4 linked regions of the Macaca mulatta genome follow. The protein of the gene in region 3 interacts with the protein of the main gene of each other region in a pairwise test. Links are inferred from orthologs where the notes say so. Each region holds a gene or a part of one and is shown on either strand. Other genes may lie near its edges.

Region 1 (4,741 bases), on a different chromosome or scaffold from region 3:
CCACTGTACTCCAGCCTGGGCGACAGAGCAAGACTCTGTCTCAAAAAAAAAGAAAAAAAAGAAAAGAAAGAAGGTGAAGAATTAAGAGTTCAAGAGAGCTGAATACCAAGTGCTGACAGAAGGGACTCCCAAGGGATGCAAACTGATACACACAGCAGAACCCCAGAAAGGTTTAGGAAGTGGTGATACAGGCACCACAGAGGCAAGAATGAATATAGGGGAAATGAATGAAAATCTGTGTCAAGATGCTTAGATCATCTGCCAAATTTCTCCCCCATCCAGAGGGAAGACTTTCCAATACTATGTTTAAGGAATCCCCCCAAAGAGATCACCAGGTTGCCACCTAATCTCCTTATAGTGAAGTCTATAAGCTCATAAGGCCCAGGCATGCACACAGAGCTTGCAGTGATTTGTTCTTAAATATTCACCAGACACAATAAAATTCTCCAACATGAAAGTCAAAGACCAGAACAAAACAAATGGAGAATGGATTCTAGAAGAAACTGAGATGCCGCAAAGAACAAAGAAAAACTTCAAAAATTAAATAATATCCTCAGGCAAAAGAAGTTCATGGCCTGGTGCGGTGGCTCACACCTGTAATCCCAACACCACTTCGGGAGACTGAGGCAGGTGGATCACCTGAGGTCAAGAGTTTGGGACCAGCCTGGCCAACATGGTGAAACTCCGTTTCTACTAAAAAAACAAAAATTAGCTGGGTAAGCCAGGCGTGGTGGCTCACACCTGTAATCCCAGCACTTTGGGAGGCCAAGATGGGCAGATCACTTGAGGTCAGAGTTTGAGAGCAGCTTAGCCAAAATGGCGATACCCCGTCTCCACTAAAAATACAAAATTTAACTGGGTGTGGTGGTACACACCTGTAATCCCAGCTACTTGGGAGGCTGAGGCAGGAGAATCGCTTGGAACCCAGAAGGTGGAGGTTGCAGTGAGCCAAAATCGCTCCACTGCACTCCAGCCTGGGCAACAGAGCGAGACTCTGTCTCAGAAAACAAACAGGCTGGGCATGGTGGCTCATGCCTGTAATCCCAGCACTTTGGGAGGCTGAGGCAGGCAGATCACCTGAGGTCAGGAGTTCGAGACCAGCCTGGCCAACATGGTGAAACCCTGTCTATACTAAAAATACAAAAATTATTTGGACATGGCGGCGCATGCCTATAATCCCAGCTACTTAGGAGGCTGAGACAGGAGAAGCGCCTGAACCTGGGAGACAGAGGTTGCAGTGAGCCGAGATGGCGCCACTGCACTCCAGCCTGGGTGACAAGAATGAAACTCCCTATCAAAAACAAACAAACAAACAAAATTAGCCAGGTGTGGTGGTGCATGCCTGTAATCCCAGCTACTTGGGAGGCTGAGGCAGGAGAATCACTTGAACCTGGGAGACTGAGGTTGCAGTGATCTGCGATAGTGCCACTCTCCTCCAGCCTGGGTGACAAAGTGAGACTCCATCTCAAAAAAAAAAAAAACAACAAAGCAAAAAAAAGTTCATACAGAAATTCAACAACAGGATGCTATTAAAAAGAAACATGCAGGCCGGGCGCAGTATTTCACGCCTGTAATCCCAGCATTTTGGGAGAGGCCAAGGCGGGCAGATCACTTGAGGTCAGGAGTTCGAGACTAGCCTGGCCAACATGGTGAAACTCCATCTGTACCAAAAATACAAAAATAAACCGGGCATGGTGGCACGTGCTCTTAGCTACTGGGGAGGCTGAAGCACAAGAATCGCTTGAACCTGGGAGGCAGAGGTTGCAGTGAGCAGAGATCACGCCATTGCATTCCAGCCTGGGCAACAGAGCAAGACTCTGTCTCAAAACATAAAATACAAAAATTAGCTGGGTGTGGTGGCGGGAGCCTGTAATCCTAGCAACTCAGGAGGCTGAGGCAGGAGAATCCCTTGAACCCAGGAGGGGGAGATTGCAGTGAGCCAAGATCTCACCACTGCACTCCAGCCTGGGCAACAGAGCGAGACTCTGTCTCAAAAGAAAAAAATGCGAAGAGCCAGTTCATTAAGACCAAATGCAACACGAGTTTCAGAAAGAAAGAACAGGAGAAAAAGCCAGAAGGGTTAGGCTACCAAAGACTAGAATGGGGAGAAAGTGACTGAAGCCCTGGAAGCTGCTTAGTCTCTCAGGCTCTGAAGATTTCTTAGACCCCCTTTCTACCTGCCTCCCATCTAAGAGCCACAAAGTCTTCCCACCAACTTGCTCCCAAAGCCTGTGCCTACCTGGGGAGAAGGTTTTCGGTAAAAGTTCTTAAGCTGTTCATAGGGCAGAGGGAGTTGCTGGCGTTGGTACATGATATGCTTTAGAAGTTCACAAGTAAACTGACAGCAGCCTTCCTGGCTTACAGGCCCAGGAAACACCACTGGTACTATGCAGTCTCTTGGGCAAAAGGGCTCCGAAGGGTTGAGAGGTTCCTGGGTAGAGCTTGTCTCAAGCAGTTCTATCTGGGAGGCGTGAGTTTCTTCTGACTTCTCATACCACTCCAAATCTGGTAGATGAAAAGAGGGACAAGAGAGAAAAATTTAAAACCTAAAAGCCAAAGTCAGTCTTCTCATTCCCTGTGGCCACCAAACCAGCCACCCTGAGAAAGCAGGCACTCCGACATACGCCCATACCCTCCGCAGCCTACAGTGTGGGCCGTGGCAGGGAGAGATTCCTGATCCCTGTTGCCTGAGGAGATTTAATTGACTGAAAGATAGTGGGGGTATTTCGGAGGTAGTAACTAGGGCTCCCCGCTCAGAAAGCAGCGGGACTTGATCTGGGGAAATGAGTCAAAAGTGTAGTCAAGCAGGGTCCAGTGCGACCCACGGCGATGGAGTCACAGCTAGAGCCTTGTAGGACACCCGGAAGACAGGGAAGATGGGCTAGGGAGAGGACCAAGGGATAAATGGAGGGCGCGGAGGTAGGGAAGAAACGGGTCCCTAAGGCTTCCCAAACTCTGGGCCCCACGCCTTACCAGGGACTGAGGCTGGGGACAGAACCTCCGCCTCCGGCGCCGCCATCACGACCTCCTCCCCTTACTCCTTGCGGTTAGAATAAAGGTCCCGCGGGGCATCATGGGAAGCCCGCGCCTCCACTTCCGGTTCAGTTGGGCCGGAAAAAAGGCGCGGCGCCACGGCAGTGTTGGGGAGGCTAAGTGGAGTTGGGATTTGATCCCTCCGTTCCTTCCTTAACACCCTGGCAAATATACGCCTAACCCTTGCCCAGCAAGAACCCAGGCGTTCTCAGCCAATGAGCGCTGCTTTCCAAAAGACACCAACCCTCACGCATCCATTCACTCCAGCATTCACTACTCACTGTGCACCTACTTCGTGCCAGGCCCTGTCCTAGGTGCTGGAGACTCAGCGGAGAACAAGCCAGGCGCGGACCCTGTACTCAAGGGGTTCACTGCCTGTAGATACCATACAATGTGATGAATTATACAGAAGGGTTTACACGGGGTGTGGAAGTGAAAAACAAGGGTGCCTGACCCAGAGAGGGTAGGGGCTGGGAAGGAGTGGTCCCAGAAGAAATGTGTGAAGCTGTGACCTGTAGGATAAGTCAGCAAGGTAAAGAGGAGGGCCCAGTGCTCCAGGAGACCTTGAGACAAGAGCATACTCTGTTCAAGGAATGAAAAGAGTTCATATTATAAAGAGTTAAGGCTGTAGTGAACAACAGGAGCCAGATCATGGCAGGACTGTGTAAGCCATGTGAGAGTTTGGACTTGATCCTGTAGTCAGATGGGGAAGCTTTGAAAGGTTTAAGTAGGAGAGTGGCATGATTAAATTTACATCTTATAATCTCTACCCTGGCTGCAGGGTAGAGATTGGATTACAGAGAGGATAAGAGAGGAGGCAGGGATACCAGTTAGAGGTAGTGCAATTACCTGAGTACTTGATGAAAGCAGCCTAAACTGCTAGGGTAGTCACAGTGGGGTGGAGATAATTGGGTAACTCGATATATTTAGGAGGTCCAGTGAACATAACTTGGTGATTGATTTACAAGGAGGAGGAGGAATAGAAATAGACTGACAAGAGGCCGGGCGTGGCTGCTCACACCTGTAATACCAGCACTTTGGGAGGCCAAGGCAGGTGGATCACAAGGTCAGGAGTTTGAGACCAGCCTGGCCAACATGGTGAAATCCTGTCTCTACTAAAAATACAAAAATTAGCTGGGCATGGTGGCATGCACCTGTAATCCCAGCTACTCAGGAGGCTGAAGCAGGAGAATCGCTTGAACCGGGAGGCAGAGGTTGCAGTGAGCTGAGATCACGCCACTGCACTCCAGCCTGGGTGACAAAGCAAGACTCCATGTCAAAAGAAAGAAAAGAAAAGAAGACTGACAAGAAAACAAGCAGGTTTCTGACTTCAGCAATTGTATGGCCAGTTGTGCCAGGAGTTTGATACCAGCCAGGACAATATTGGGGACCCTGTTTCTGCAAAATTAAAAAAAAAAAGTTTTTAAAAGTTAGCCAGGTGTGGTGGGTGCACATCTGTAGTCCTGGCTATTCAGGAGGCTGAGGCAGAGGATTGCTTGAGTCCAGGAGTTCGACAGTTACAGTGAGCTATGATTAAGCCACTGCACTTCAGCCTGGGCAGCAGAGTGAGACCATGACTCAAAAAAAAAAAAAAAGAATGGAGGAAACACTAAAAGAGGACCAGGTTTATTGGGGTGGGAGGTGAGTAGGAGAAAAGATGAGTTCAGCTTTTCACAGATTGAATTTGACATCTCCATAGGACAATGAA
Region 2 (4,896 bases), on a different chromosome or scaffold from region 3:
GAATCCCTTGCTTCACACTCTGTGGTCACCCTTATCTAATCCTCTACATCTCTGATTTACATCAAGGGCCTCCTGAGTTTCCCACTTCCTTTCTGTCCCTCCCACAATGCGACCTTCATCCAGCAGCTAGATGTGAATCTCATTATGTCATTCCTGAGTTTAAAACTCTCCAAACAATTTCATTTCCATTGTTATTCCTAAAACCTATGAGTTTGAACCTATCATTTTTCTTTAGATCACTGTTTCATCTAGACTGTGTAGCTTCTGACATATAGTATTTCACTATAGCATTTTCTAAAACTTCAGACTGAATTTCCCCTTTAGCTTCTGACTTTTGTAATGTTTTACAAGTTTACAAACAGGTTTCTTTTCAAGTCTTCCAGGTTATTATTAATTTCTAACTTTTTGAGATAAGACTATTGCCTAGACTGCCATTATTTTTTTAAATATTCTACATCTCAATGTATTTTGTTTTCAGCCATCTTAACCGTCATAAATTAAACTCTACTGCTATTGTTTTTCTATAAAAACACATAAACCCAAACACACGTAATTAAAAGCAGAAAGCAACAGCCACAGTTTCAAGCATATTTACAAATCTACTGTACCATCAATATCATTAATTTCTTGATTAAAGTGAAATAATAGAATTGGCTTACCATTGGTTTACCATAAAATGGAAATCCTTGTAACTGTCTCAAAGCATTCGTGGATGAGCCCAGTTCCTTAAATATGACAAAGGCCTGCCCCCTCATCTTCATGGTCTTTAAAGCCACAATGTCCACCACATGACCGAATTGAGAAAACAGGGCATACAGGGATCTCTTCAATTCTGTCCAAATTAGAAAAGAAACAAGTCATTGGTAATAAGATAATGACAAAAGTCTTCATAAAATGATACTGCATTGAGTTGCCTCCCCACCATTCACTTATTTATAGTTATATATATTTAATGTTTATAAAAACATATACTATTCCCATTGGCTATATGTAATTTTATAAGTCAGATGAAACCATTATATCTATGAGTAGAAACAGACTGTACACACTGTCAATTCCTACCTATTTTTGTTTTTTAAAAGTCTTCAAATCCCTATAGGTAATGGAATAAACCATTATTTCAGGCACTAAGACGACGAGGTAAGAGGTTTTGAGGCAATACAATTTTTAAGACAGTAGTAAATAAACACATTTTAGTAGTGAACAAGTATTTTTAAAAGCACTTACCTTCCTTTTTAATTTTGTCATTCATATTGTTGATATAAATTGTATGATTTGGTCTGATATCCATGTTTGTGTTAAATTCTTCAGAAGGAGACAGTAAAAAATCTGTTATAAAAAGGAAGGAGTAAATTATACTGGACTGTGGCATAAGGACACAACACACGAATTATTAACCTTTCACTTCTCTTTCAATCCCAATTGTTAGATGATGTCAGTTTGGCTGAAGCCTTTAGTGTACCTCCAGCACCTACTAGCCCTCCTTTTCATACAAAAGGAGAAGAGTTTCTCATGCTCAAAACTTGGAGCACCAATACCTAGCCAGATTTTAGTAACATCATTTAATTCAACACATTTATTTTCACACTTACTTTTCACTTATGACAAGTGATATTTTCTTTCCACCTCCTCAATAATTTAAAATGTAGATTTGAAGAAAAATGACCAAGTAGCAAATGTACATCCAGTGAAAATCATAAGGTTAGACATTAATGGAGTTTGCCAACTACTTCTTGGGTGCACTTACAAAGTCCTTCCATACCTATTACTTAATTTGTATACAGTATCACCAAGCTGTCTGGACTCCAAGGTTACCTCTAACCGACTTGAAAGAAGGGAGCTCAATGACAACAGTGTGGCATGACCGTTAAACTCAGATTCTAGTACCAACCATATGTGAATTCAAATCCTATTTATGCTTCTTATTAGCTGTTTGCCTGAGGGAAGTTCCTTAATCTGTCAGGTCCTCATCAGTAAAATGAGAATGGTAACAGAACCTACCCAACCGAACTCAGAAGACTAAATGAGTTCTAGCACAGTTTTGCATCAACGGTAAGCACTTAAAGTAGCTATTATTAACAGCTATTACCAGTTAAGGAACGTGCCTAAGGTCACACAGCTAATAAGCATCAAGCCTGGAAATTCAGCCCTTGCTTTCTCCTCTACACTTCTCTTCCTCGTCCACCACACTATTGCATTTTTTTAACGTGGTTTTTACTTGCAAACTGTGAAGCTGCTTGATTTCCTTGTGTGCCCCACATATTTCTTTATCTCACAAATATTTACGGAGCATCCACTGTACGTGAATAGCATTGGATGATTGACAAGGGAAGAGCCTACAAGCAGGGGCTGCACTTGTGCAGGTAACAGGTAAAACATAACGCTTCTCCAAGCCTTGGGACCCCCTAAATCGAAATCTGGAGAAGCGGCAAGGGTCACAAAGGAGACGACGAAAGGGAAGTGACTGAGGCAGAGGTCAAACTGAAGGTAGGGGGACAAAGGGGAGGCTCTTGCGGGGTTTCATGCGAGGTTTGATCGTGGGCTGGACTGTTACAGGGGCACCCTGAATTACCCGCCACTACCAAAAGGAAACCGCTGGAAGACACCTGAAAGCGCAGTGAACTGTCAGCGCCTCGCACAAGCAGACGGACATTATCCTTTACTTCGTAAGCGCAAGCCTCCCGCCTCTCCAGACACAAGCACCTTCGCCCGAGGCCCCCTAACGAAGTCCGAGGGAGCTGCCACGCGATGCCCGGCCCCTGAGTCAGTCTCCCATCTCTTCCTCGCCCCCAGCCTACTCGGGTACTCCGAGATCCAAATCCGGGCCAAACGCGTCCCCACCCCAGCTTCGCGCTTCGTCCGCTCCCAGCTGCAACAGGGGAGAGAAGGGCCGAGGAGCCAGGAAAACCGAAACAGCGAGGTAAAAGGTGCACGAACCCACCTAAGGCCTACGCAGTCTCCCGTAAGAACCAAAAGCAGGAAACGGAGCCAGGCACCGGAAGTAACGTTGCCACGCTCCTCAATCGAGCGCCCACAAGTCTACAAGCCGAGCGCAGAGCAGATCGATGCTTCCTGGTCTCTGGCGGCCCGTAGGTAATCTCTTTGCGCGTGCGTATGCCCTGCGGGCAGGAGAAGAGTCCGGAAATGGAAATGGGGAAAGGGACGGGGTTTGTGGGGACAATGCTGCGAGGGAATAGGGAAGAAGAGTGAATCATTTCCCTTACCACGACCTTGCGAAGCTTTGCCCCGCGCAAGAGTGCCTTCCACCTTTACAAATCCTATGTAATTTTACAGGCTCTGCCTCTCATGCTACGGGGCAGTTAGTCCTGGTTTCGCCCTTCTTTGGGCTCTGGCTGCCCCGGTTTAAAATCACCTTTAGGATAGCCGGTTCCTCCGGCCTCCAAGTCTCCTCTGATTCCTGGGGCTCTGCAGGAACTGTCCTCCAACACTCTGCTGATGAACTTGAATCTCAGAGGCTACCCAGTTTGAGGGCCCAGGGCAAACAGAACTGGTGTCTGCCCAATTCTCATCTCTCACCAGATAAGGCAACCATGCTGAGTAGAACCCAATCATCTGTAAGATCATCTGCCTCAACTCACTCGAAAAAATAATTCCCTACCACCCTTCCCACTCTTTTCTTCCCACAAAAAGTCTAGATTTTTCTAGGGTAGTCTAACGAGTTAGTATTTATGCCAAGCTGAATGGGAATTCCCAAAAAAATTCCCATGCTTTCATTCATTCATCCATTCATCAGATGTCTGTAAAGCATCACCTGGAATATGAAATGGTTGTTAAGAGTCAAGTGGAACCTAATCTTGTACCCTCTGCTTAACTAATCTCTCTGATCTTCACTCTTTTCGTCTGTAAAATAGGGATCCTAATAGTATCTCCTTCTAGTTGTTGTAGGCATTAAATGAGCTAAAATAAATGTAAAGTGGTTGGCACATTACCAGACACAAAATAAATGCTCAAAAATGTTATTTCTGAATTCTGGCTATAACTTGGTTATATTGGTGAGGCTCAAAAATGTTATTTCTGAGTTCTGGCTATAACTTGGTTATATTGGTGAGGCAGGTAGCTGTCAAATAAGTTAGTTTTATCAGCTGGGAATTTTTATTTTTTAAAAAACACCTAAAGTTGCAACAACTTGAAAATAATATAAGCTTCTTAAGGGTGGGGATTTTGTCTGCTCTGTTCACTCAAGTACCCTTAGTAATGAGAATAGTGACTGATAATTAATATGTATTGGATAAATGAATGACTGACATGGAAAACTAGGCAACAGTAAACAAATATGCTTTGAACATGCAGATGAGTGTAGAAAATGTTAAGGGATCACAGAAAAACATCCTTTTATTATATAGATCTAATACTACAAGAAATGGCTGAGTGTAGTAGCTCACACCTGTAATCCCAGCATTTGCGGAGGCTGAGATAGGACTGGTTGAGGCCAGGAGTTTGAAATCATCCTGGGCAACACAGTGAGATCTCATCTCTGAAATAAATAAATAAATAAATAAGAAGAAATAAATGAGAAATTCCTATCTCAGTCAAAGAATTATATCTTTAACAAATTAAAAGAGAATATAAACTTAATGTAAACAATTTCTAAATAACAAAGGACAAGCTATTCTGCGTATTAGTATGAGCATCTCAACAGTTAGTTCTATTTGTTGATAATGAGGATGGCTAAACTACTGAGAATAAACTATACTCTTTATTATATAAGGGGATCTAGCCAAGAGTTGATAACTGTTAAAAGAGAATAAGATGTGATTATGCAAAGACACTCCAACCTAGAAGAAAATACCACAGGAAACACAGAGGCCTGAAGACAGACTGCATATCATGTTCTATTAACAATTAAATTACAGCTATTGTACATTACACTGTGAG
Region 3 (4,037 bases):
ATTAAATGCTAATTTTCCTTTCTATTGAAAACAACTGTTGGAGACACTGATTTTCAGTTTAGTATATAGATAGTAAAATTAAGACGACACCCTTTTATTGCTACAATTCTATCACTATTACAAGTTCTAGAATGGTGGAATGGGCAAACAACACTACCACTGAGATCAAACATGTATTCTACTTTGGGTACTAAAAGGCAGAAATGAGGAATTAAATAGGTTAGCCACTCACAAGTTGGCCTTAAGCAAAAATACTGGGAAAACAGAAAATAGCAGGCATCTGCCAGAAATAAATTAGCTCTTGGGAATGACCTTGTATCTGAATTAGGAGCCCTATACCCTTTCTGGTACTCTGAATTTATTTTAAAGGCATTTCTAGACACCTTCTCTTTTAGGCAAGAGCCTGTCCTGTAGCAAATGGAGTTACCTCCAAGATTGTTGTATCTCTGTTACTCCTGAAGCCTCAGAAATTTCAGTCATTATCATTTGATGGCTGAGAAACAACCTGGCTGGTGACAGATGCTGAACTACTTCCTTTTAAAGTTTTTATTCTTCTTTTAATTTACCTCAATAAGTCCTGCCCTTCAAAACAATAAATTAAAAGTATGCTGAGTTAGAATGTTAATGGATTTGGTTCCATTAATCCCTAAACCATAGGAGTGGCAAAGTGGATGAGAGAGAAACAATTTTATTTTTGGCCTTTTTATTATTGTTCTAGCATTCTAGGGCTTCCACTCTTTTATTTTTAGATGGTTAACTCATTGATGATACCTATTTGCCATATAGCTGATCCCAACTGATGAAAACCATTCTAAAACATCAATAATTAATTCACTTAAAGACGATGGTCCCTCTGTCCCTAAGACAGATCCTATAAAGAGAGGGAAAAAGTCTCTTTTTCAGAAACAAATTGACAGCAAAAAGATGAAAATTTAGTCTCTGTCAAGTTGGACAGGAGGTAGTTATCAGGTTTGTAAAACCAAACCTGGAACCTACCTCCACTGTCCTTCAACAAGGGGAAACTATTCCCTCTTTCACCCCTTTGTAACACAGTTCTACTTTTTAAAACGACATCTTCCCTAATTACCACCTCCAATAAATATCCATTCTAAATTATTCTCTACCCAATTATTAAAGTTTTTCACAAGCTCGGTGGGGGAAGATTTACCCTGAGACAAACAGTGAACAGAGTGAGGATTTTGGAAAGACAGAAAAAACTACAAAGCAAAGTGGTCCCAGCATAAGAACTGAAAATAGCGGGGTACAGTGGCTCACGCCTGTAATCCCAGCACTTTGGGAGACTGAGGAGGGCAGATCACGAGGTCAGGAGATCAAGACCATCCTGGCTAACACGGTGAAACCCCATCTCTACTAAAAATGTAAAAAAATTAGCCGGGCATGGTGGTGGGCGCCAGCTACTTGGGAGGCTGAGGCAGGAGAATGGCATGAACCCGGGAGGCAGAGCTTGCAGTAAGCTGAGATTGCGTCACTGCACTCCAGCCTGGGTGACAGAGCAAGACTCCATCTCAAAAAAAAAAAAAAAAAAAAAAAAAACCCCGAAAATATTCTGCCACCTGTGATTTAGTCATGAAGCAGGTGAAACAGTCAAGTTGGTATGAGGAAAAGGAAATATTAATATTTGTGATGAGATTGGGACTTACTGAGAATCTTGGTTGTCTAGGAAATGATCAGTTATTAAGAAAAAAAGTAAGAGTCAGTTGCATCATGCACAGACTTGTGCTCAGAAACGGGGTGCAAGGCAGCCTTATATTCCAGGTAAGATGGTGGGATTGGGGATGCACTGGAATCATCAATCAAATCAGAATCCTTTACTCCTCCTTTCCAATCCTCCTGGAGTGGTGGAGCCAATGTCTGGCCTCTCTATAGTACACTAAGGGAAAAGAACAGCAGACACGAGGTGAGCAAGAGCAGTTTGCCAGCCCATGGTTTCCCCAGATCCTTAGCACTCTCTACACTAAGGTTAGAGCTCTGGATTTCTGCTCATCCAATCCCAGCCTTACTTAGTGCCCTATGGTCATTCTCCCTGGTCCACCCTCACTATATTCCCCTGCCACCCACCCTGAAGAACACAAAGCTTTTTAGTTCTCTGCCACAAGGTAATTTTAAAAATGTGGTTTCTTTGTTTAAACAGTTACTAAGTTGTTTCATCTTTTCATAACAGACCTCCCCTCCCCCAGCTCCCCACTCAGTCTTGTATGATCACATCATCATCATCATCATCATCTTCCTCCTCCTCCTCTTCTTCCTCATCACCTTCTAGCAGTTCTTCCTCCTCCTCTTCCTCTTCTTCATCTAGACAAACTACCACCTCAGCTGGCTGAGGTAATCGAGAGTCAAACCAATCCAGTACCTGCTGGGTGCTAAGCCTTGATGCCTGACTCAATTGAGGGATATCAGTTTCCCGTAGCTGTTGGTGGGCTGCCCAGTACCTCTCCAAGGGTTGTATATCCGGTGGGGGTGGAGGGATCGGCAGAGGTGATGTCTCAGCCCTTTCATTCAAGGAGCGGGTTGATGGTGGTGGTGTAGGAATTGCTAGGTCTTGGAAACTAGGGGCACCAGGTACTGCGTTGTCCCGAAACCATTTTAGTTGCCCATGCTTCAAGGCATAACGTGTGTCACCAAACCACTGAATGATCTCAGGCCGAGGTAAACCAGTGATCTGTTCTAACTTTTGGTAATCCTCACGCCGTGCCCATTGGCACTGTAGAAAAAAGGATTTGAGGATAGCCAGCTGCTCTTTGGTTTTGCGCTTGGTCTTTCGCTGGCGTTGCATATCTGGGGAAAGGTACTCTGTGGGGCCAACCCTACCTGGTACTGAATTATGCCGTAGCCCTTGGGGCCAGGCTGGTTCCAGATGTGGGGGTAATGCCTGTTCACTGGGTGACACTGACTGTGGGATACAGCCTAATGGCTGGAGGGGTTTAGAGGTGGCAGTAGCTCCATTAGCCAGTACCTGGAAAGAAGAAGAGGAGGTAGAGGAAGAAGAGGGAGTAACACTAGATGCTGACTCCTCCTTACAACTACTGGCAATTAATGCAATTGGTGGGGGTTTATCCCGAGCTTGTGGTGGGGGGACAGTTGTGGAGTGGTTCCAGGAAGCAGTTCCTATGCCATGTGATTGGTTGGGACCCCTGCCTGCCTGCTCCTTTGAGAAGCCACTGCTTTGACGATGTTGCCAAAAATCTGATTGGTGGGGGAATGCTCCACTGCCAGGTGTCATCAGGGACTCCTTTAATTTCTGGTGACTCTGTGGCAGTGGTGGCATCTGAGAGGACTCCTCAGGCTCTACCTTCAATCCTTTCGTCTGGGTGGGCTTGCTAAGAGACGGAGGACCTATTCCAATACCAACTTGTTCTGGAGCTGGCATTGGAGGAGGAGGCACCTCCTCTGGGGGCCGTCCTGCATGATGAGTAAAAGAGAGAAGGGATTTGAAATGGAGTTGGTCCCGACGGTAGACTACTCGGGCTCGAGTTTCTTCTATTTCTTCAGATGACCAGCTAATACCACAGCGGAGGCGCTGGGCCATAAACCAAGTCTTGACTTTCTCCATCTGCAACCCATAACGTAGGCAGAGAAGGGCAATGTCTGCTAGGCTGGGATAGGGAAAGTAGCTGAAGGTTTTTAGCAGGTGTTCATTGCTGTCTAGCTCACTGGTCTGGGCTGCTTGGGTCCACACAAGCTGTAGCTCCTCAGAGATTGGAGGGAGGCAGATGAGCCCCGCTGGTGAACTACTGAGACCGCTGGCCTCTTTATTAGGAGGCATGGTGCTTTCTGATTTGTGCCCTTCAGAGATAGCTGTAATAAGAAAAGAAACAGCTCAATCACTGGGTCTCCTCTTCTGACACATTGCTCAATTTCTACCAAACTAACTGCTGGACACCAAAACAATTAAGTTTCTATTTGCATCATGTTGTATTGCTTTTTAAGTGCTTCAACAGTTTCTTATTTAATTTTCATAAACAAGTCATCAGACCCTGCTTTAATTCTGATTTTCTGTGGACTAAAGTCCATAGATG
Region 4 (4,924 bases), on a different chromosome or scaffold from region 3:
AGAAGACATATACATCTCATACGGCAAAAGCAGAATAGGGCTTTTCTTACTCACTTGAATACTGAAGGAATGACCCTTAACCAGATGAAAGCTCAGCACAAAAATAACTGGCTATTTTCTCAAAATTGCCAGCTAGGTAGAGTGATTCCTAAATGATACTTCTTGTCAGCAAGAAAGATGATCTGAAGAATGAACAAAAATAGCCTCTGTTTAACAGCTGTGATATCTATAATTTATAAGCTGTGATCATCTCTCATCAGATTGTCTTGATGTTTGGATGAGAATGAATGTTTGAAATTTCTATATTTAGTACTTCTCAGAAAACAAAATTTTGTTGTGTCCTATTCTTTTTTATCAATAATTTCAATTTACATATAAACAGTGTTCAAGAGACTTCATGTTTGAGGAATGTGACCTTGAAACTCTACTGGCATGCAGTGCTATAAATGTCTGACTAATCCTTAATTACTTATCCCCAAACAGCAATATTTTTTTAGTTTTAAAATTTTTTCTTTGGCAAATAAAAATTGTATATATTTAGTATGTATATGTTTTGAAATACATATTGTGGAATGTCTATGTCAAGCTAATTAACAAACGGATACGAATCTTTGTGTGTGTGTGGTGAGAAGCAAATAAACTTTAATCACTGAAATACGGAACAACATTAAAGAATGGGACAACATGAAGGAAGGAAAGGAGGGAAGGAAGGGCGGCAAAGAAGGAAGGGAGGCAGAGATCATCACTTTATTACCTAATTCTTTGCCAGTCTTTTTTCTTTTTTGGGGGGGGCGTGGCGAGGTCAGTCTTTGAACACGCTACCTAGGCATCATGCTTCTAATTTCCTCTTACCACTCTTTTCACTTCTATATCACATTTATTCTTCCTTTAATATGTGGCCTTGTATTGGCCTCGCCCTTCACAATTCCTCTGTCGCTCACGTATTTTACTTTCTGTGGGCAGAATGTTGTTTGCCTTTCCACGTCTTTCCCATTTCCCTCTTATACAGCTGTATCACATTTCGGTACTATATGTTTATATAAGCGCGTGGTAAAACTACTTATTTATATAAGCATGTGCTAAAATACACTCGAGCAAATACCGTGACTGAGATTTTTTGGAAAACTGTGGGCAAATTAGTTACAACTGAGAGCTCTGGCGGAGAGGGTCTCTTCTATCTACAGGACAAAATAATTGGGAATTACAGAATAAGTAGAGGAGGACAATTCAAGAGCGCACAGAGCTGCGTGCGTTCTCCCTGTGCCGCGACCTGTATCCAAAAGCCTCAGACGAAACTGAGGGGCTTCCTAGAGGCTCTTCTGCCACTGCCCTTTTGACCAGGGCCCTTCCCGCAGTCTCCCCTCTCGCCTCTTCCCTTTTACAGCCCCTCGCTCCCCACACCCGAGGCTCGTCTCTTCTTCCAGTTTGACTTCCACGTCTTTCCATTCCCTAGAAACGGGCCCCAGCCTCACCCCCCATTTTCACCCCCTTCGGTTTTCCTCAGAAAGGGCACCCTGGCTCCCTCGGGACCCTCGCCCACCCCACTTCGCAGCACCTGCCGCATCCGTCCCTCACTCGGACCCGGCGCACCTGGCGCGGCCCCTCCCGCACTCCCGCCCAGCGCCCCGCGTCCCCGGCCCCCGCCGTCGCTGCCTCTGGCTCTGCCGCAGGCGCCTCTCACTCCCGGGAGCCGGCGCCGCGCGCTCCCTCGGCCCCGCCCCGCCCGCCGCTCGCCCGTTGCTTCCCACCTGGGCCCGGCGCGCCCAGCGCCCCCTCCCGGGACCCCGCGCAGCCCCGTGCCCCTCGCGGCTCGGGGTCCGCCCCCCCGCCCGCAGGGCCCGCTGCACTGTGGGTAGGCGGCGGCAGCGGCGGCGGCGCGGAGCGGCAGGCGGCGAAGCGAGGCCGCGCGCGCGGAAGATGGCTGAGAAGCAGAAGCACGACGGGCGGGTGAAGATCGGACACTACGTGCTGGGCGACACGCTGGGCGTCGGCACCTTCGGCAAAGTGAAGAGTTGAGTACGCGCTCCGGACCGCTGTGCGAGCTGCCTGGCTTGCGGGAGGCCGGGTGGAGAGGCGGGAGCCCCGGGCCTCGGGCGGGCGCGGGGCTCGGCGGCAGGTGGAGCGGCCCCGGGCCGCGCGGAGCTGGGGCCCCGGGAGGGTGGCGCGCACCGCCTCGCCTGGCACCGGCGCCCGGTTCCCGCAGGGTCCAGGGAAGGGGGCGGGGGTGTGGGCTGAAGACGGGCGTCCTGGGTTCCAGGTCCCGCGCCCATCCGCCTTTCCGGAGGTTGGAGCAAGGCACTTCTGTCTTCTCTGGACCTCAGTGTCCTCTGCAAAACCGGGAGATTGGACTCTATCCACGAGGCGCCTCCCAGCTCTGAGCCTGTAGGCTCAGGGCGGGGATCATGCACGCTGAGGACTGAGGCGCCGTTTCCTGCCGGGTGCCCTGTTAGGTGCTTTACATGGGATCTCATTGAATCCTACAGTGACTCGGTCAACATGTCCTCACCCTTAAGGTGAGAAAACTAAGACCCCTAGAGATGGAGTAACAAGCCCAAGGTCACACAGAAATGGGCAGTACCAGAGTGAAGTCTAAGATGTCCTCCAATTCTGGTCTTGCTGGGAGGTCCCTGCCATCCCCAGATTCCTTCATGTTCCAGGACTCTCGGTTTTTGGGGGTGACTGTTTGGGGGATGCTCCAGGGGCCAGAGGTTGTGAGTCTTTCTTCCTGGGGTGTTGTTAAACGCTGGAATGCAGCTGGATTGGGTCAGAGGTTAATTAGAACAGAGAGGTCTGAAGGTGGTTGTGTTTGTAAAATGGCTATGGGAAGACTTCTGGGGTAAGGGAGAGAAAAAGTTTCCTTGGTGTTTGGAGGATTGAGGTTGAGGAGGTCAGGACTACTAAGGCATATTCTGCTAAGGTCTGTCTTCATGGAGATAGGATCCCATTTTGGGTGTAGGAAGACAGGCTGCTTTTGAAATGTTATACTTTATTAGAGTTAAGTTAACTAGTAAGAATAGTTGTGTTGAGCTTTCATTTGTTTTCTTTTTTGTTAATTAGTCACATGGGATTTAATTAACCTGCCTTCTCTCCAGAATAGACACAGTTGTTTATTAAAAATACTTTGTTGTAAATCCAGAATTATAAGTGAAACATTGGCTTTTTTTTTTTTTTTTTTTTTCTCTTTGCTGAAGAAATGCTGAGTAGGCAGTCTGGAAATTTTATTCTGAGGTCTCTATTTCCTTGTAAAATTCGTATTTTAACCCCAAGTCAAGGCTGTTGAATGAGTAGAAGAGACTCATTGTTCATTCCTGTGGTAAGAATCAGCTCCTGTTTTCTTGCACGTGTTTAATACCCATTCATTTGTTCAAAAAACTCTGAGCACCTGCAGCGTGGTAGGCACTGTTCTAGGCAATGAGGATACAGCAACGAAAAAACGGATCTTTTCATGGAGCTTTCTAGTAGGGGAAGGCAGACAGTAATCAGAATATGTATGTAAAAGGTATATTTAATTTTACTGAGAAAAATGAAGCAGGGAAAGGAAGATAGTTTTGTGAGGTTGGCAGTTTTCAATAAGGTGGTCAGACAAGGTGGTATTTTTGCAATGACCTAAAAAGTTTGTAAAATTCTTTGCGGTTCTGTGAGGGTTATGAAGTCCTGGGTTATTTTTGAAAGACCTTATAAGTAGAGTGGATAGTTAGAATATGTTTAAGATGAATACAGGACGATCCAGGGATTGTAAGGGATACAGTAAGCCTGTAATGTTACTTGTCATTTAGTATCATTATTAAGGACTATTGTGTTACAACATTATACAGTTGCTCAAGCAAACAGTGCCTTTGACATTTGGACATGTACACTCTCAAAGTTATATAACTTAACCCTATGTCCTTTCAAATTGTGTTAAAAATTTTTGCTGGTCTTTTTAAGTTTGTATACTGTAATCTGAATGTAGAGTAGAATACCCATCAGATCAATCAGTCCATTGTCAAAGACAACTTAAATCTCTTGTGTGTACTTTTGAATTGTTTCCAGGCACTGGCTTCTTGAAATATAAACAGAAAGAACTTTGATTTATGAGAAATCCTTTTCCTGGAGAACCTCTGTCCAATGAACAACCAGTTGAAGGAGTTTTCCTAACACTGTATTAGATCCTCTGAAAAGTGATACTATGGTTTCCTATCCAAGATTATGATCAGTACAATTGTTTAATAAAAATTATAGAAACTGCTACAATCTACAGTTACTCATATAATTCTTCAAGGGACAAGTGAAACAAGTCTTTTTTTTTTTTTTTTTTTTTTTAAACTGTGGCTCATGCCTGTAATCCCAGCACTTTGGGAGGCTGAGGCGGACGGTTCAGTTGAGGTCAGAAATTTGAGACCAACCTGGCCAACATGGCGAAAACCCGTCTCTACTAAAAACACAAAAATTAGCTGAGCGTGGTGGCAGGTACCTGTAATCCCAGCTACTGAGGAGGCCGAGGCAGGAGAATCGCTTGAACCTGGGAGGCAGAGGTTGCAGTGAGCCGAGATTGCGTCACTGCACTCCAGCCTGGGTGACAGAGCAAGACTCCATCTCAAAAAAAAAAAAAAAAAAAAAAAAAGGAAAACAGCTTTATTTAGGTATATTTTATATATGAGATTCATCCGTTCTAAGTGTACAATTCAATGATTTTTACTAATTTTGCCAAATGTTGCAACCATCATTATAGATCAGTTTTAGGACATTTGAGGACACCACAGTAAGATTCCTTATACCCATCACAGTTAATCTCTTTCCTACCCTCAGTCCCAGGAAATCACTAATCTGTTTTCTGCCTGTATAAATTTGCTTTTTCTAGGCACTTCTTCATAAACATGATCATTCAATATGTCATCTTTTGTGTCTAGCTTCTTTAAAAATGCTTTTGAGATTCATGCATGAC

Evidence for each region. The genes of interacting proteins can lie anywhere in the genome.
Region 1: the proteins of HOMEZ (region 3) and MAD2L1BP interact in binary tests that used the Homo sapiens proteins (3 or more experiments, as listed by UniProt). The two-hybrid records come from large-scale screens. The link is inferred for Macaca mulatta from reciprocal best matches to the Homo sapiens genes HOMEZ and MAD2L1BP.
Region 2: the proteins of HOMEZ (region 3) and SNRPB2 interact in binary tests that used the Homo sapiens proteins (3 or more experiments, as listed by UniProt). The two-hybrid records come from large-scale screens. The link is inferred for Macaca mulatta from reciprocal best matches to the Homo sapiens genes HOMEZ and SNRPB2.
Region 4: the proteins of HOMEZ (region 3) and PRKAA2 interact in binary tests that used the Homo sapiens proteins (3 or more experiments, as listed by UniProt). The two-hybrid records come from large-scale screens. The link is inferred for Macaca mulatta from reciprocal best matches to the Homo sapiens genes HOMEZ and PRKAA2.

Annotation. Positions count from the first base shown.
Region 1 is NC_133409.1:138,483,012-138,487,752, forward strand, and holds the start of MAD2L1BP (MAD2L1-binding protein), read right to left. Parts: upstream 3,039-4,741; 5' UTR 3,020-3,038; coding exon 2,974-3,019; intron 2,506-2,973; coding exon 2,240-2,505; intron 1-2,239. UniProt on the Homo sapiens protein: May function to silence the spindle checkpoint and allow mitosis to proceed through anaphase by binding MAD2L1 after it has become dissociated from the MAD2L1-CDC20 complex.
Region 2 is NC_133415.1:67,266,153-67,271,048, forward strand, and holds the start of SNRPB2 (U2 small nuclear ribonucleoprotein B''), read right to left. Parts: upstream 3,039-4,896; 5' UTR 2,942-3,038; exon of another isoform or gene 2,607-2,941; intron 1,330-2,606; 5' UTR 1,292-1,329; coding exon 1,228-1,291; intron 833-1,227; coding exon 660-832; intron 1-659. UniProt on the Homo sapiens protein: Involved in pre-mRNA splicing as component of the spliceosome. Associated with sn-RNP U2, where it contributes to the binding of stem loop IV of U2 snRNA.
Region 3 is NC_133412.1:96,372,523-96,376,559, forward strand, and holds the end of HOMEZ (homeobox and leucine zipper protein Homez), read right to left. Parts: intron 3,817-4,037; coding exon 2,207-3,816; 3' UTR 687-2,206; downstream 1-686. UniProt on the Homo sapiens protein: May function as a transcriptional regulator.
Region 4 is NC_133406.1:183,976,353-183,981,276, reverse strand, and holds the start of PRKAA2 (5'-AMP-activated protein kinase catalytic subunit alpha-2), read left to right. Parts: upstream 1-1,886; 5' UTR 1,887-1,917; coding exon 1,918-2,011; intron 2,012-4,924. UniProt on the Homo sapiens protein: Catalytic subunit of AMP-activated protein kinase (AMPK), an energy sensor protein kinase that plays a key role in regulating cellular energy metabolism.